Linked DNA regions of Oryctolagus cuniculus. The protein of the gene in region 1 purifies or fractionates together with the protein of each later gene. This does not show direct contact. Links are inferred from orthologs where the notes say so. Each region holds a gene or a part of one and is shown in the gene's direction. Other genes may lie near its edges.

Evidence for each region.
Region 2: the proteins of organic cation/carnitine transporter 2 (region 1) and YIPF3 purify together in Homo sapiens (co-immunoprecipitation; 3 studies listed by BioGRID and IntAct, counting the BioPlex papers as one, with this or other methods). This does not show direct contact. The link is inferred for Oryctolagus cuniculus from reciprocal best matches to the Homo sapiens genes SLC22A5 and YIPF3.

What each region holds. Positions count from the first base shown.
Region 1 is NC_091437.1:20,898,237-20,906,524, forward strand, and holds the start of organic cation/carnitine transporter 2, read left to right. Parts: upstream 1-3,801; 5' UTR 3,802-3,958; coding exon 3,959-4,351; intron 4,352-8,288. UniProt on the Homo sapiens protein: Sodium-ion dependent, high affinity carnitine transporter. Involved in the active cellular uptake of carnitine. Transports one sodium ion with one molecule of carnitine.
Region 2 is NC_091436.1:126,547,946-126,556,310, forward strand, and holds YIPF3 (protein YIPF3), read left to right. Parts: upstream 1-3,545; 5' UTR 3,546-3,618; coding exon 3,619-3,699; intron 3,700-4,211; coding exon 4,212-4,409; intron 4,410-4,581; coding exon 4,582-4,688; intron 4,689-6,517; coding exon 6,518-6,563; intron 6,564-6,676; coding exon 6,677-6,769; intron 6,770-6,922; coding exon 6,923-7,054; intron 7,055-7,231; coding exon 7,232-7,345; intron 7,346-7,536; coding exon 7,537-7,660; intron 7,661-7,753; coding exon 7,754-7,902; 3' UTR 7,903-8,205; downstream 8,206-8,365. Other genes in the region: POLR1C (DNA-directed RNA polymerases I and III subunit RPAC1), read right to left, coding at 45-163, 311-427, 540-689, 844-996, 1,079-1,198, 1,421-1,553, 1,763-1,870, 3,059-3,130 and 1 more. UniProt on the Homo sapiens protein: Involved in the maintenance of the Golgi structure. May play a role in hematopoiesis.

The sequences.
Region 1 (8,288 bases):
TCAGCTTTTCTTCTACATAAAATTGGAACATCCTTCTCCAGAATCTCTAGAGATAAAAGGGATCAGGTAACTGAGTTGGATCCTGAGTTCTTTCTTTTCAAAGATGCAATGTAAACAGTAGTAACACCTAGACCCGGAAGGCCTGAGACCCGGAAGGCCTGAAGTTGCTCTTTGCTTTGTGCTCTGGACAAGTCGTCTGTGAAAGACGGTTCCTTTTCTTTTCCGCACCTGCAGCTTCCGTGGTAGTCTACTCAACTGTGAAAGCCTGTCAGGGGTGCTTTCTGGTGCCCAATGGACGCTTCCCTAACTTTACCTTGCTTAATGACTTTGATGATGGCAAGTCACCCTCCCACCAAAGGTTAACTCTCCGAATTAAGGGAGTGGTGCACGCTCCAAACCAGTCCTGCAGGAGCTCAGCTCATCTATCCTCCCCAGAGATAACATCTCCCCCCAGGCCCTGTCTCAGATGTTTTACCAAAGCAGCACTCCCTACCTGGAGACCCTAGGTAGACCAGAGCCCCCTCCCCTGCCATGGTTCCCAGGCAAGCACACGGGCAGGCATATTGCTGACCAGAGAGGGGGCATGAGCACTATGGACCAACCAGAGATCAGCACACAAGCTGAACCCGCCTGTCTCAACCCCAACCTCAATAAAGTTCCTTACCCTTAATGTCTTGGGGGTCTAGGAATTAAGTCATCGTTGTCTGCACTCCTTGCTTGGAGATTTACCAATATCTACTTTCTTTCAGGGTCAGTGATGGCTCGCTGGGCTTTTCATTTATTTGAAATACTAAAAAAATTTTTTTTTATTTGAGAGGTAGAGAGAAAGGTCTTCCATGCGCTGGTTCACTTCCCCAGATGCCCGCAAAGGCTGAAGCTGCGCCGATCCAATGCCAGGAGCCAGGAGCCTCCTCCGGGTTTCCCACGCAGATGCAGGGGCCCAAGGATCTGGGCCATCTTCCACTGCTTTCCCAGGCTGTGGCAGAGAGCCGGATTGGAAGAAGAGCAGCTGGGACTCAAACCAGCACCCATATGGGATGCCAGCACTGAAGGCAGAGGATTAACCTACTGCACCACAGCACCAGCCCTGAAATACTAAAATATTTGATACAAGAAACACTTATTTTCCAGAAGTCTTGCATCCTTTTTCACTGGATTTCAGATAAGGACTATCAGTCAAGATCAGATGTTAGGATGAAGTGCATTTATGAACACATAACCATCCATCTTCAGAAAGCAAGAATATGAGGGTACTTTAAAAAGTTTGTGGGAAAAAGAATTCAAACAAATTCATTTTGGTGCAAAGACTCCTTTGAAGTCTATGCATAGAGGGGAACGGTAAGTGTAAAGAAATGAGCAATAATGGTGAAAACATTTTTCATTATTTTTAAAAACTCAATTATGCTTTATATCTTATCACCTGTATAAAATCTGCTGGCAAGGTTAGCTTCTCCTTCTGTATTTTTATTTTCAATTTAGAATATGGTCACTATTAATTAATGTTTGTCCAACAGATGACATGTAAAAAACGTATACTTAGTTCTCTATCACTAAGCCACTATTATCATGGAAAAGGAATAACTGGCAGTGTCTAAGTTAGCAGTCCAAATTCCCAAAAGCCTTAGAATGGTACTGTTCCAATGGCCACTAGCTACATGGGGCTAGGGAGTACTTAGTCCAAATTGAAATGAAACCCATATTGGAGTCTGAAAGTTTAGTAGGGGAGGGAGTAGGAACAATGGCTTTTATGTAAGAATATAAAATATTTAAATAATTTCTAAATTGACTATGTGATGGAATGGTCAAGTTCTGGGCACACTAGATTAGCTAAGTATACTATTAAGTTAATTTCATGTTTTATTTTTTAAATATCCAGTGTTGTTCAATTAAAACTTAGAAACTTTAAAAGAACTTTATTAGGGGTTTTAGGAATTGTAATTTGGGAGACACAGGTTCAGGAAGCTATGCATCTGCTCTGAGGAAGGCAGGTAAAGTGGGAGCTTATAAGAGGGAACCTGGACTACTGTGACGAATCGGGTGTAACGAAAAGGATCTGAGAGGCCGGCACTGCGGCGTAGCAGGTAAAGCTGCTGCCTGCAGAGCAAGCATCCCATATGGGCGCTAGTTCCAGTCCTGGCTGCTCCACTTCTGATCCAGCTCCCTGCTAATATGCCTGGGAAAGCAGTGGAAGATGGCACAAGTATTTCGGCCCCTGCACCCAAGTGGGAGACCTGGAAGAAGCTCCTGGCTCCTAGCTTTAGATGGGCTCAATTATGGGCCTGTAGCCATTTGAGGAGTGAACCGGTGGATGGAAGATCTCTCTCTCTCTCTCTCTCTCTCCCTCCCCCCCCCACCCATTACTCTTTAAAATAAAATTTAAAAAAGAAATAAATAAAAGGATATATAAAGAGGGTAGAAATGTCCATAGAACAAGAATCCAATTGATAGGCATCTTGAGCCTCTGGGTATAATGTAACTGGCCATTTATGTCATTTATGCATGAGGTCAAAGGTGGAGGTGACCGAAGTCCACTTTCCAGGAAGCAGCTGGAATTATGCATAAACCCTGCTCCCTTGACAACCTCTCCACTCCACTTGGAGAGGTGCATTCGATGTTTATTTCATCATAATTTTCTGCATTTTCCCAGAAGCACTGCCAGATAAAACACAGGACACCCAGTTCCATTTGCAGTTCATATATTCGTGCATGGGACACATTTCTCCTGAAAAATTATTCATTAATTAGGTAAAATTCTCATTCAACTCGGTGTATTTACTAAATAGGGAAAATTTTAATATGGCTAATAAAACATTTAAAAATACACATGTAGCTCCTTAGCCGGTGCTGCTTTAGAATCATCTAGTTGCTATTTTTTTTTTTTAATTATCAACTTCTGAGTTAACTTTTCAGAAATAACTAATCTGAGGGACACAGTTAATCCAAGGCTGGGATTGTTTATAATCTTGGGAGTTAAATTTTTACATTTGCTTGAACAAATTAAAGAACAACAAGGAGTTGGCACTGTGGCACAGCAGGTAAAGTGCTGGCATCCCATACAGGCGCCGGTTCGAATCTAGGCTGCTCCTCTTCCGATCCAGCTCTCTGCTATGGCCTGGGAAAGCAGTAGAACATGGCCCAAGTCCTTAAGCCCCTGCACCCACGTGGGAGACCTGGAAGAAGCTCCCGGCTCCTGGCTTCTGGCTTCTGAATCTGGCCGTTGCTGCCAGTTGGAGAGTGAACTAGCGGATGGAAGTCCTCTCTCTCTCTCTTTCTGCGTAACTCTGACTTTCAAATAAAGAAAGCAAGAAAGAAAAGAACAAAAGGCCTTGTTACATGGCATCTGGACCAGAATGAAAAGTCGTGGCTCTCCTCCTTCCCAGAATCCCAGTTTAACATAATCCCTGCCACTCTCACAAGGAGCCTAAGCAGCAGTGAGACCTTGGGCCAGACACACCAGTCCCTGCGGACCTGGACAGGCGACAACGGTAGCACCGGACCCTCCCACCGACCTGGCCCAGGCACAGCGCGCCTGGCCCCTGACGCCGACGTCCTGACTCGGCTTCGGGGCCGTCAGCGCTCGCACTCGGGGTCGGCCCAGGGGCACAGGCCGGGGACGCGCCGCAGGTGCACCCGGCGGCCAGAGCCCTCCACCCGCCGCCGCGCCCCGCCGCAGCTCCGCCCCCGCCCGCGCCGCGCCGCCGGCCGGAGGGGCGGGCCTTGCAGCCCAGGCCCAGGGCCCGCCCCAGCCTGGCGCCCTATGTAAGGCCGGTGGCGGCGCCCGAGCGCCAGGAGCTCGCGAGCCTGCTCGGCCGAAGGACGGTCTCGGTGTCGGGTCCCTGCTCCGCCGGACGCCCGGGAGCACACGCGCACGCGCACGCGCTCGCCGCGCCCCGCCCCGCCCCCGCGCGCCGCAGTGTCCGCGACCCCGGGCGGCGCGCCGCGGGCGGCTGAGGGCGGCATGCGGGACTACGAGGAGGTGACCGCGTTCCTGGGCGAGTGGGGACCCTTCCAGCGCCTCATCTTCTTCCTGCTCAGCGCCAGCATCATCCCAAACGGCTTCAATGGCCTCTCGTCCGTGTTCCTCATGGCGACCCCGGAGCACCGCTGCCGGGTGCCGGAGTCGGCGAACCTGAGCAGCGCGTGGCGCAACCACAGTGTCCCGCTGCGGCTTCAGGACGGCCGCGAGGTGCCCCACAGCTGCCGGCGCTACCGGCTCGCCGCCATCGCCAACTTCTCGGCGCTGGGGCTGGAGCCCGGGCGCGACGTGGACCTGGAGCAGCTGGAGCAGGAGAGCTGCTTGGATGGCTGGGAGTACAGCCAGGACGTGTACCTGTCCACCATCGTGACCGAGGTGGGTGCCGCGCCGGCCGCCGGGCCAGGGGCGCAAAGGCAGCTACCTCTTCGGTCCTCAAATCCACCGCCACCAGCCCAGGTGCAATGTTAACTCTCATCTTAGAATACCCTGGTGGCTCCGGAACGTGTTGCCCGGTGACATCCAGCCAGACCGTGCCCCTGCAATAGCAGGTGTTAGGCTGCCTCTCCCGCGCCTTCCTCACGGCCACCTTGGAGAGGGAGTCCAGAAGGGACGTCCTCTGGCTTGAGGGTGGGAGTGGTGAGTGGCAGAGCCGGAGCTTGGAACGTGGAGCTGGCACCATCTCTCCTCTGGCTTCCTGGCATGCGTTCCCACTAGAGAAATACTCCTGTGCTGAGCTTTGATAGTCAAGGGAAACATGTGTCCAAGACTGCCTGTTCCCTCCCTGGGACAGCCCTGTGAGGAACTGTCCACCTCTTGCCCCGGATCACTTGTCAAACTTTTGACAGCCTTGTGTCTGAAGATACAGGTGCCTTGTGAACGTTTTGTGGGATGCTCCCAGGTGAACTGGGCAGCCACGCTGCGTTCAAGTGCACAAGCTTTGTTTGTGGAGGGTAGTGGAGGTCTTGGTCCCCAGCCCCTCAGATTTTCCTTTCCAGGGGTTGTGTCTGTCCCCTGGTGCACCTGCTGTCCTTGGGGCTCAGTGCCTGACATGACGTTAGTGGTGCAGGTGAGTGTCCTTTGTGTCTTGCTTAGGCATTGCCCGGAGTGTCCACAGAACTGAGGAAGCAGAGCAGTGGACAGAGCACTCCTTTGTAGGTACTGGGTCACCTGTGTGTCATGTTTAGGGATTCCCAGGTTAGGAAAGGTCTCCTACAGGAGATGTTGCCTGCCCAGTGACTCTGGGATGACCCAGATGCAATAGCACGAATTTGTGCACGCAGGGCAGAGTTCACAGGGAGGGGAGGCGGCAGGGACCCAGTGTGGCATCAGACGGTAACGTTCCCTCTTGGAGCCTTACGGGGGCTCTGGGGCTCCAGGTGTGTTCTTTCCAGGGAGTCTGAGCGCTGTCCTGGGAAGCTCAGACATGTGTTTGCGTAGAGAAATTTGATGTCCCCAGCACCTGTGAACTGAGTGTGACCTGAACCCCACAGGGAGTGACATCATTGCAGTATCCTCAGGCGTTCTCAGGGACAAAAGGGCAGAATGGAGGTAGCTGACCATGATCTGGGGACTCAAACCTCCAGAGAATGCATGGAGAACGGGAGCTTTCGGTGGGTACGGGTCTTGGGTCCTAGCCTTCCAAGTGAGTTTGTTCCCTTCCTAGAAGCCAGGGAGAACTGGCTTGTCCACACAGTCACAGGTAGGGGCCACTGAGGGAAAGCCAGACTTCACGACACAGAAGTCCCTATGCATCTGCTAGGGGCTGCCGGAGGAAGGGGGCAGGCGTGAAGCTGGAAGAGGCCCAGGGCTTCCCAGGATTTCCCCGGACCCTTGAGGGTCCCCTAGCCTGACCCCATCATTGGCTGCTGTCCTTCAGTGCCCACACCCTGCCCTCAGCTGAGAGAGGTAGCAGCCCCGAGGCGCTCCCACGGCCCGGCGGATCCGGTGCTGCCCGTGTTAGTCCGCCTTGTATTCTTTTGTTTAGACTATTCATTTCGCTGTCTCAGCAGTTTCGTCAAAGCTCTATGCCCTTTCGCCTACTTCCAGGTTTTCCGTCTCTGTGGAGAGGAAAATTAATACACAGTCCTTTGTTTTGGGATCTGGAATGCGTGAGTTCGGGCTGCTGTTCTCAGGTGAACAGTCGCTGTTGGGAGCTGCTGCAGCAACATTCTGAAAGGTTTCTTTTTTTTTTTTTTTTCCTAAGGTCCACTTTCTTTCAACCAGGCCCATTGACCACTGTAGCTTGTCCTGTGCCTGCCAAATGTCTCTAAGCCTGCCCTGTGTGCCAGATCCCACAGAGAGGCGTTTGCACAATGGGATTAAATTCTTGTTCCTAGGTTTCAACAGAGACTAAAGCCTCAGATCTGCAGTTTGTTTTTTCCCTGGTTCACATCAAGGTGCATCCACTTGCAGTGAACTGGGCAGCTTATGATTGATTGGCTTAATGAATGATTTAAGGAATCTTCTCTAAAGTTGGAGAAAAATGGATAGTTTTTAGGAGGGAAACTTGGGGGGTAGCCAGAAAGGATCGACCGGGGTATTCTCAAGGAACTGAGATTCTCCACCCTGTGTCCCGGGGTGTGGTACTGTGGATCTGGAGCAAGGCACTGGACTTGGCAGGAAGAAGCGGGCAGGTTGTGAAGTGAACGGGCTCAGGAATTGCCTGATGGTGCGCATGCTTCTAGGCCAGCCCCCACCTCGCCTCTTAGTCATCCCTGGGCTGTGGGGACTCACGCAGTCCCCCTGGCGGTGCTTCTGGGCCCGGGACTGCCCCCTCCTCTGCAAACCTGTGTGGTTTCTCAGATTGCCCACGCACCCCGAAGCCCGTTCCAGCGTGCAGGCACAGAGGTTCCTTTGGAACTTTTGCGCCCTTCTGACTCCTGGGAGTTGTTAGGAACCCCCCCCCCCCCAAGCTGAGACCTGACCTGCGCATCGGCCTGTACCCAGTTTGAATCCCTCTCTGGCTATCTGAGGACATCCTTGGCTCAGAGTTCTGACAGTTGCCACGAGGCAGGGGGTCAGGGAGCAAGGAAAATAACTCATCCAGAGACAGAGATTCAGGGTTCCTCTGCACTTTGGGTAGTGAAGCCCAAGGGCCAAGCCTAAAGGATACTGAAGGGTGGTGGTGAAGGTTGACAGCCCTTTCGTTTACCCACTCCCTCTCTCACCGTGTGGCCAAACAGTCCCTGAGCCTCTCCTCTCAATGGGGCACTGCCAGATGTAGAGGATGCATTAGCTGATAACCTCTTGACTTTGCCCTGACAGCCTTGAGGCCAGAATGGCAGCCAGAGGCAGGACGAGATTGTCCGGCACACAGCGTGTTCGGTAACACGTAGTGCTTACCGGGCTGTTTGACCACTGGTGCGGTGAGGTCAGGTACATCTGGGAAGAGCTTCTGCCTCCTGGGCAAAGACCCTGTCTTTTCCCTTCCAGCCAGTTCATAGGTCAGAATGTTCAGTCCCAGGGAGCTCTGTCATCTCGACTTCCCATTACTGAAAAGTAGCACCAGTCATGTGTAAGTAGAAGAGACACGATTCTTTCTCAGAGACACAAGTCTTTTTCAAAAGAGGTAACAGCTTTGTTGCAATGTAGAAGACATTTTTAAAAACTGTACATCCAAGGTGTGCAGTAGGAAAAGCTTGAGCACGTGTGCCTGTAGTCCTGTGAGACCATCACCACCCGAAAGGCACGTTTCTGACCAAGAAGCACAGCCAATCTTGCTGCTTTGCCAGAGTTACTCCCAGCTGTTTTCAGTGGGGCCTGCTTTCCCGGATTATCCAGCCAAGGGGTAACCATGCCAGACTCGTGGTTGAGTCTTAAACCCACACATTCAAGTGGAGGCGTGGATGAGCTGGGAGCTGGGAGTTTAGTACCTTTCAGGGCACCAGTGCCTTCGGAAACACATGAAGCAGGGGTAGGGAGGTGGTACTTGGCTTGGACTCTGGACTGCTCACCCAGTCCCCCAAATGAGGATTCAGGCAAAGTCCTGCAGCCCGCTGCAGCCTGCCCAGTGGTTGTCAGGTGAGTGGATGGATTGGCTGGGTGGGACCCATTCCATGTCAGTTTTGGCAGTCTTTCACCTTTCCTGACCCCTGATCACAGGCCTCTGGCTGGCAGGAAAGAAGTATTAGGACATGTTTGCTTTTGGAGGGCCCAGTGCCAGACTCTGAGCATGGTCCAAGACTGACAGTGGTGGGTGGTGGGCACAGTTACTCTGGAGTTACACAGCTGCCTAGATGAAGGACAGGCCAGACTACCTGGGGAGGGTGGGGCTGAGGGACCCCGAGAGATGCCCTGGGATCACGCCGAGATG
Region 2 (8,365 bases), on another chromosome or scaffold:
ACCAGCAGCCAAGCCCAGCCGTCCCGGGAGCTCCAGTGCAGACTTCAGTCCATCTGAACCGCGTCTAGTTCGTCCAGGAACCGCCGGCACTTCCCCATCAAGACCTTGATGGCTTCACTCACCAGCACATCTGGTGGCAGCACCCCCGTGGACTCAACAGAGACTGGGGACAAAAGAGATGCTTTACCTTAGGCAAGGCTAGTTGAATTCCACATCTGGACTCAAAAAGTAAACTACAGCACCAAAGGGCACAGCCACCCCCTCCCCGCGCCCTGTACATACACTCATACCCTCAGCACCTCATACTCACAGATATAATGATCTCGAACCCGGGCAAGCCGGACAAGCTTCTTCAGTTTCTCATTCCGGAAGATTTCCCTGCTGAAGGTATCTAGCCGGGGATTGGCAACTCTGGCCACCTTTTTACCTAATGAAAACCATGTTATACTTTGTCTCCAAGCCCAGAATGGTTATGCCTATGCTACTTTTACAAAAGTAGACCACACGGCCTGACCTGAGCACCATCCCTGATACCATACCTTGGACTTCCTGGACCTCAATGACACCTGGTGAGAAGCACTGGCTCAGCTCCTCAGCCGCTTCCCCTTCTATGGGTGCAAGCAGGGTAATGTCTGGCAGGAGCCTGTAACTGGCTGTCGCCACTGGTGAGAACTTGGCGTGGTCCTTGCCTGCAGGGAAGGGAGAGATCAGCCTGGGGGAATCCTCTCCCGAGCCACTGAGCGCGAAAGCCCAAGCCCACCGCCTTCTGCCGGTCAGGAGCATCCCTGGATTCCTGCGGCGACTAAGCTACGCCCTGCACCTGAGGCGGCCCACGGGTCTCACCGATGCCCTTGACACAGTGCATGAGCAGGTCAATCTCTTGGCCAGGTCGCAGCTGGGCAATGAGGATATCATCGTGCACCGGCCGGATAGTGCCCTCAGGGAAGAGGTCAGCCTGGTTCCCCAGGGGAACCCACGTCATGTGCCTGGTGTACACTGGAGGGAAGACAAGTCAGAGGGCTGTAGCCCCGAGACGCCCCCACAGCCAGCAGCCAGGCCTCCCTCCTTGCCCACTAACCTTTGTGATTCACATAGAGCTCGTTGGGGTCAGAGGAATCTTTAGCAGCGTGGGGGTTCCGAGTGCACCTGACCTGCAGCCGAAACTGCAGAGTGTCTATCTCTGTGCCCTCGTCGTCCCCTGCACAAAGGGAAGAGGCGGCCCTTACAGCAGCAGTGAGCATCAGGGTAGACACTGCCGAGTGCTACCCGTGTGCTGCTCCTCTCGTCCACAGATGATGAGTCACTTGCCCAGGGCCACAAGAGTCAACCCAGGATTCGAACCCAGGCAGCTGGTCCCAGGATCTACTAAGGAAGAAAGCGGTTCCACTTCCCCCAACAGCTTCATCTCCCAGGCCCTCACCTTGGTTCCGATATTCAAACAGTCGTGGATCAGCATGAATGGGAATGAGCCCCAGGCGGTGAGCCAGGATCTCATCCTGCACGATGGATGTGTTGTTGTACACCAGTACCTTCTCCACAGCCATTGTGGGCACCTACCCAGAGACCAGGATTACCCGTCTATAAAAACCCGGCAGACTCCCCACCTCCTGAGATGGACAACTCCTAGAAGAATGCCTCATAAAAACTTAAAGCAAAACACTCCACAAAATCGGGGGGGGGGGGGGGGGGCAACTTGAGACACTGACAGATGAGGTGATGGCACACTTCCCCACGCTCCAGCCGTCACCGGCCCCGCTGATACCTCCGCCAGCAGAATTCGCCGGAAAGCATTGGCAATGGCCGCATCAATTCCCACCATGTCAAACTCCAGCGAGTTTTCATCCATGTGTACCACATCCACGCGGAAGTTCTAGAGGCAAAGGAAAAACAAGTGGATGGAGCCTGCTCTTGGTGTGACCTGGCTACAGCTCCCCCTTGACACGGAACATCCCCGCTCCCCCAGAAGCCTTCCTCTGCCCAGCAAAGCCTCATTTGATGTTTTCTTCCTCTGTTCTTTTAGTTTCTTGAACAATGCCCCCAGTTTTGTATGCCACTAGTTGAAAATCCTATGCAATATGGCTTGAGCCAGAAGCTATTCTATGAAGAGCAGAAACTTCTATACAGTTTAGTCCAGCTGACAGGACTCAGTTCTTTTCTTACTAATGTTACATTTGGCATTGAATTAAAAAAAAAAAAAAAAAAAAAAAAAAAAACTCCTTTCTCAAACCCCATCTCCTCCGTGTCTGGGCACCAGTCCTCCATCTGAGGAGTTGCGTCTCCTTCCACCCACCACCTAGGTGTTACCGGTCCCCAGCTTCTTGTCTCTCTCCAAAGTGACATCAACCACACTCACGGTTTTAGCAACTACTATGGACAACTCCCCACATTCTGTCGAACGCTCTCCTGGGCTGCTAGCTCCTCCACACCGCGGGGAACCGAATGGGTCATCGTTCCCACTGCCCAGGCACCGCCAGCCGTCAGATGAGTTCCCACAGCCAGAAAGTCCTGACCGCTCTCACCAAAGCACTCCTGGGCTCCTTCCCCCAGCACTGCCTAGCGATCTGCCCGCCCCTTCTCCTCCTTCTCAACCACCAAAGCTGCAAACCGGATCACCTGGTCACGCCTGCTCAAGAACCCCCAGTGCCCGCCGTCAGGCCAGTGTAACATTCTATCAATAATGCGCGGTTCGGACATTCTAGGGACACGCCCACCCCGTCTTTACAAGTTAGCTCGCTTACTCCTCCCTCCTCGACCTTCACTCACCGTTCAGGGCTCAAACTCAGATGTCACTTCCTTCAGGGAATCCTATGATTCTGCCCCAGTCTAGACCGTCTCTGAGGGGTGCCCCACCCCCACTCTCAGCCGCCGTCACCGCATCCAACTAGAATGACCTGTACAGGCCTGAACAGCTCGATCGCAGAACAAGGCAGAAGCCCGGTGTGCAAGGAGCGCCCAGGACACGGTCGGATGCTGAGCAAACTTGGTTTTGCCACGTGAGTGACCCCTGGGAGCAGCTCGGAAGCCCGGGCTGCTCCGATCACACTCCGGCCCCACGCACCTTCTCGAAGCGGTCCTGATCCCAGGCATCATCATAACCGGAATAGTTCCCGGGGAAGTCGGTGGTATGAACCTAGAGATACGGGTCCGTCCGTGAAGAGGCAGCGAAGCCAAGCCCGCCCTCACTTTGATCCCGACCCGTCCCTCTCATACTTCCTTCTGAACTCAAGGCCACAAGGCTTACATTCCGAACTCCGAACTCCCCTAAAACCACGCGGCTCCGCATTTCTTCAACGGCCTGAGCCGCCGCCATCTTCGACTTCCCCCACGAGACTAAGGCCTCACGCCTGCGCGTGCGTTCTAGCGGCTTTCCTCCGTCGCCGTGGCAACGCACCGCCTCCCGGAGCCCGACGTATCGCGAGACTTTGCCCCGCCTCCGTCCACGTCCCCAACTTCCGGAAGTCTGTCTGGGCCAAACATCCGGGTTTCTCTTTTTTGCGTTCCGGCTGGTGGCGCCTGTCCTCGGCCCTGGACGTCTCCGTGCCTCAGGCCCACGTCTGCCCCCTCTTCCTCCGCGCGCGGGGCTAGCGCTGGCTTCGGGGACGGGAGCCCTCCAGGGACATGGCAGCCACCGCGGCGCCGGCCGGCGGCGCTCGAAACGGGGCCGGCCCGGAATGGGGCGGGTTCGAAGAAAACATCCAGGTAATGGCCCCAGCGCTTCGGCTGCCGGCCACCCCGACGTGTCTGGGGAAGCCTCCCTCGGGGCCCGAAAGCTTCCTCCATTTGCAACACTCCTCTCCCCTTTGGGTCTTCGTGCACGGGAAAGTCAGTGAAGCTAGTGCCGGCCGGAGGGCCTCGGGTCTCTGGACGCGCCTGAGGCGTTAGGAAGAGAGACAGAAGAGGAGGTCAATCGGGGTCAAGCGGGGCAGTGGGCGGGATTCGCTGGCACTCGCCAGAAACATCTTGTGTGCATGGTCTTGCTTGCGCCTTGCAAACCCTCGGGGCCTTTGATGGGGAAGGTGGGGAAAAGGCATGAGCGGAAGACAAGTAGGTGGCTTCTCGGGCTAGAGGAGAGCGCCGGAACCAGCAGCCAGGGGGTTCTGAGAGAAAGTGAGGGGTGACAGTGGCCTGATGTGCGGGGATTCGGAGGCGCGGCGCCAGCAGCGGGGCAGGGACCAGAAAGGCCTGCACTGTAGGAGGCATTGCCTTCACAGGGTGGGGGCTCTGCCGTGATTGACATGGAGAACATGGATGACACCTCGGGCTCCAGCTTCGAGGACATGGGTGAGCTGCACCAGCGCCTGCGCGAGGAAGAAGTGGACGCCGACGCGGCCGCTGCGGAAGAGGAGGATGGGGAGTTCCTGGGCATGAAGGGCTTTAAGGGGCAGCTGAGCCGGCAGGTGGCTGACCAGGTAAGCGGGGCTGAATCCTTGGCAAGTGCAGGATACCTGCGCGATCTGGAGTCGTGTGGGTGACCTTGACCTCAGGCTGCCCCAGTTGGAGCCCAGTAGAACCCCGACAGAAGCTAGGGAGCAGGACCCCAGGGCCAGGAGCCTCACGGGCCATCCCCGCATCTCCGCTCAGATGTGGCAGGCCGGGAAGAGACAAGCTTCCAGAGCCTTCAGTTTGTATGCCAACATCGACATCCTGAGACCCTACTTCGATGTGGAGCCTGCCCAGGTGCGCAGCAGGTGAGGCTCACCTCCTGAGCCCCGGTCCCTCACCCAGCCCTGGGCTCTGCTGTCCTTCCTGACGCCCTCACCCCTCCTCCCCGCACAGGGCACCAATTCGTTTCTACTCCTCTTCCTCCAAAGTTGAGCTCAAGTGTCGCCTCCTTTGCTCTGCGTTTCTGAGCCCCAGCCCGCCTCGTTCACTCGGGGTGCATTTTCAGTTCAGCACTGCTACGCTCTCTTCTTCCACGTCTGTCTCCCCAGGCTCCGTCTGGTTCATCTTTGTTTGTTTGTTTTACTTTATTTAAGTTACAGTCTTTATTTCTTTAAGTTACAGTTACCCACCTTATTGGGTAATCATATCCTTCACTGTGGGTTTTTTTTATTAAGATTTATTTATTTATTTGAAAGAGTGACAGGACAGAGAGAGAAATCTTCTGTCTGCTGGTTCACTCCCCAAACGGCTGCAGTAGCCAGAGCTGGGCCACTGCCCTTGGCTTTAGCCAAGAGCCAGTGTGACTCCATCTGGGTTTCCCTTGTAGGCACCCCAACAGTAGGGCCGTTTCCCACGGCCTCCCAGGCACGTTAGCAGGAAGCTGGATCAGAAGTGGAGCAGGCAGGACAGGAACTGGCACTCTGACGTGGGATTGCAAGCAGCACTTAACCTGGTGTGCCAAACACTGGCCCCTTCCTTGTTCATCTTTTTATCCCTGAAACCAGAACATCAGGGCATAGTCAAGTACTAGACTGAATCGTGGCTTGATTCCTTGTTCATCTTTTAGTTGAACCAGTGCTTATTGAATAGAATCACTTGGCAAGAGCTTACTAAACATCCGCTCGGTGTCAGACCCTGCTGATGCCCTCTGCGTCCGTGGTGAGGGTGGTTGCAGCACAGTGTCCTGAGCTTCAGTGGGGCCCACGGGAGGGGGGACACCTGGGCAGCGTCGCTAGTGCTTCGGACAGGGCAGGTTTCCCAGAGGAAGAAAAATCTAGCTAAAATCCGAAGTATTGTTAGCCAGCCACTTAGGACAGTCACAGGGACTTTTATTCCTTCTGTATGGAATTTTGATACCACTTCAAATATATTTTTCAAAAAGATGCTCATGGGGCCAGCATTGTGGCATAGCAGGTAAAGCCACTGCCTGCAACACCAGCATTCCTTATGGGCGCCAGCTTGAGTCCGGCTGCTCCACTTCTGATCCAGCTCCCTGCTAATGCACTTGGGAAAGCCATGGGAGATGCCCCATGTGCTTGGGCCCCTGCATCCACGTGGGAAACCTGGATGAAGCTCCTGGCTCCTGGCTTCGGTCTGGCCCACCCCCAGCTGTTGTGGCCATTTGGGGAGTGAACCAGAGGATGGAAGATTTCTCTTTGTCTGTCTGTCTCTGTAATTCTGCATTTCAAAATAAAATAAATCTTAAAAAAAAAGCTTTGCAGTGTCGGCTGAGCAGTAAGCAGGAAGAAGCAACAGCAGGAGGCCCATGGGTTCTTCTGTCCCGGGCTGCGTCGTCAGCACTGAACCCCACGCGCTCCCTGCCGTGGTTTGCCTGTCTCTTACGGAGAGCAGGTCGGGCAGACAGATGGTCAGGCCCTCTCCCAAGGTCCGCTGCACTCAGTTCTCATACAGCTGCTACTCTGGCTGCTTAGTCTTAGAGGGCTGTCCTTCGTGGAAGTAGCTTTAGGGGCAAGAGAGTAATTTCCTCATTCCCTGTCTTTGGGCCCCTTTTCTCCCTGTCACCCAGCATGCCCTCTGGGCCAGGCCCCAGCCCCTGGAGTTAGAGGACTAAGGTTCAGGCCATGAGCCTCGTAGCCTAGCGCTGCCTCAGCTGTCCTCTCCTCTCCTCTCCCAGGCTCCTGGAGTCCATGATCCCTATCAAGATGGTCAACTTCCCACAGGTGAGTGGGGTCGGCCTGTTCCTGAGTGTTGGGGGTGGCTCTGGGGCGGGGGCAGGGGGTAGCATACACAGAGGAGCGTAGCCTCCAGCCTGAGTGAGCCGGTGTATTGACAGAAAATCGCAGGTGAGCTCTATGGTCCTCTCATGCTGGTCTTCACGCTGGTTGCCATCCTCCTGCATGGAATGAAGACATCCGACACCATTATCGTAAGCCAGACGGAGGCGGGGGAGGTTGCGGGGGGTGGGGGGTGCAAGTCGCCCGAGGAGATGATGGAGTGAGGCAGGGGTGGTCCCTGTGGAGGAAGTGGGTGAGGCTCAGATCAGAGGCCTCCCAGGACTAAGGAGAGCCTTTGCCCGCAGCGGGAGGGCACCCTGATGGGCACTGCCATTGGCACCTGCTTCGGCTACTGGCTAGGCGTCTCGTCTTTCATTTACTTCCTCGCCTACCTGTGCAACGCCCAGATCACCATGCTGCAGATGCTGGCCCTGCTGGTAAGGAGCCGGGCCGGGTGGTGCACAAGGGTGGTCTTAAAAGCTTGGGCTGCATCTTTCCTGGGGCCCCAGGACCTGGAGTTTGAGGAGTGGACCAGTGACGCGTTCATTCCCGAGTCCCCCGAGGGGCCAGAGGCCAGCCTGGCTGAGTGAGCCTCCCCTCCCCATCCTTCCCAGGGCTATGGCCTCTTCGGGCACTGCATTGTCCTGTTCATCACCTACAACATCCACCTGCACGCCCTCTTCTACCTCTTCTGGCTGCTGGTGGGCGGGCTGTCCACCCTGCGCATGGTGAGCTGGGCCACGGTCTAGGGGCGGGCCGTCCTCCCAGGGAGTTGCGGCTGACAGCCCAGAGCTGTCCACCCCACAGAGGGCTCTGAACGGGAGGGGAGGGCTCAAGGAGCCATCTGCCTTGGGTGGGAGGGTGGTCTCCCCACCCTCACTTTGGAACAAGGCTCTGAGCTGTATTCCTGCGGCCCCAGGTGGCGGTGCTGGTGTCACGAACCGTCGGCCCCACCCAGCGGCTGCTGCTCTGCGGCACCCTGGCCGCCCTGCACATGCTCTTCCTGCTCTATCTGCATTTTGCCTACCACAAGGTGGTGGAAGGTGAGTGGCGGGGAGCCTGCAGTGGGAGAGCGGCAGCGCGGTGGCCCAGGGAGGGCCCAGCCGACCCCCGCTCCCCCTCCATCCTGCTTTCAGGGATCCTGGACACGCTGGAGGGCCCCAACGTCCCGCCCATGCAGAGAGTCCCCAGAGACATCCCCGCCGCGCTGCCTGCTGCCAAGCTACCTGCCGCCGTGCTCAACGCCACAGCCAAGGCTGTGGCCGTGACTCTGCAGTCCCAGTGAGCCCAGCTGGACTCCGTGGCTGGCAGGCTCCTCCAGCTGTGGAGTGGAGGACTGAATGACAGCCCTGGTGACGTCTCTCTGATGGGGCCGGCACCGCCACCACACTGTAGCTGCTTCAGCACCTCTGTGGCGCCTGGCAGGGCTTCCGAAGGCCACAAGACCAGGAACTTCCAGCCAGGACTGCAAGGCTCTGCAGCCGGTGCAGAAAGTGGCCCAGCTCCTCTGAGGCCCTCTCACCACCCACCCCTTCCTCCTCTCTCTCCCATTGTCGTGCTAAATATAGACTCAGTGATTAAAACACTACGTGAAGTCTGGAACTGCAGCCCCATTCCAGGGGCCCGCCCTCAGACCACTTCCTGTGTGCGTGGCACTCTTCCGTGGCCAGTGGTCGCGTCACATGTTCCTTTCCTTATACTCTGATTTAGGCGGGCTGAAGGTGGGACAGGCCAGACTCCATGGAATG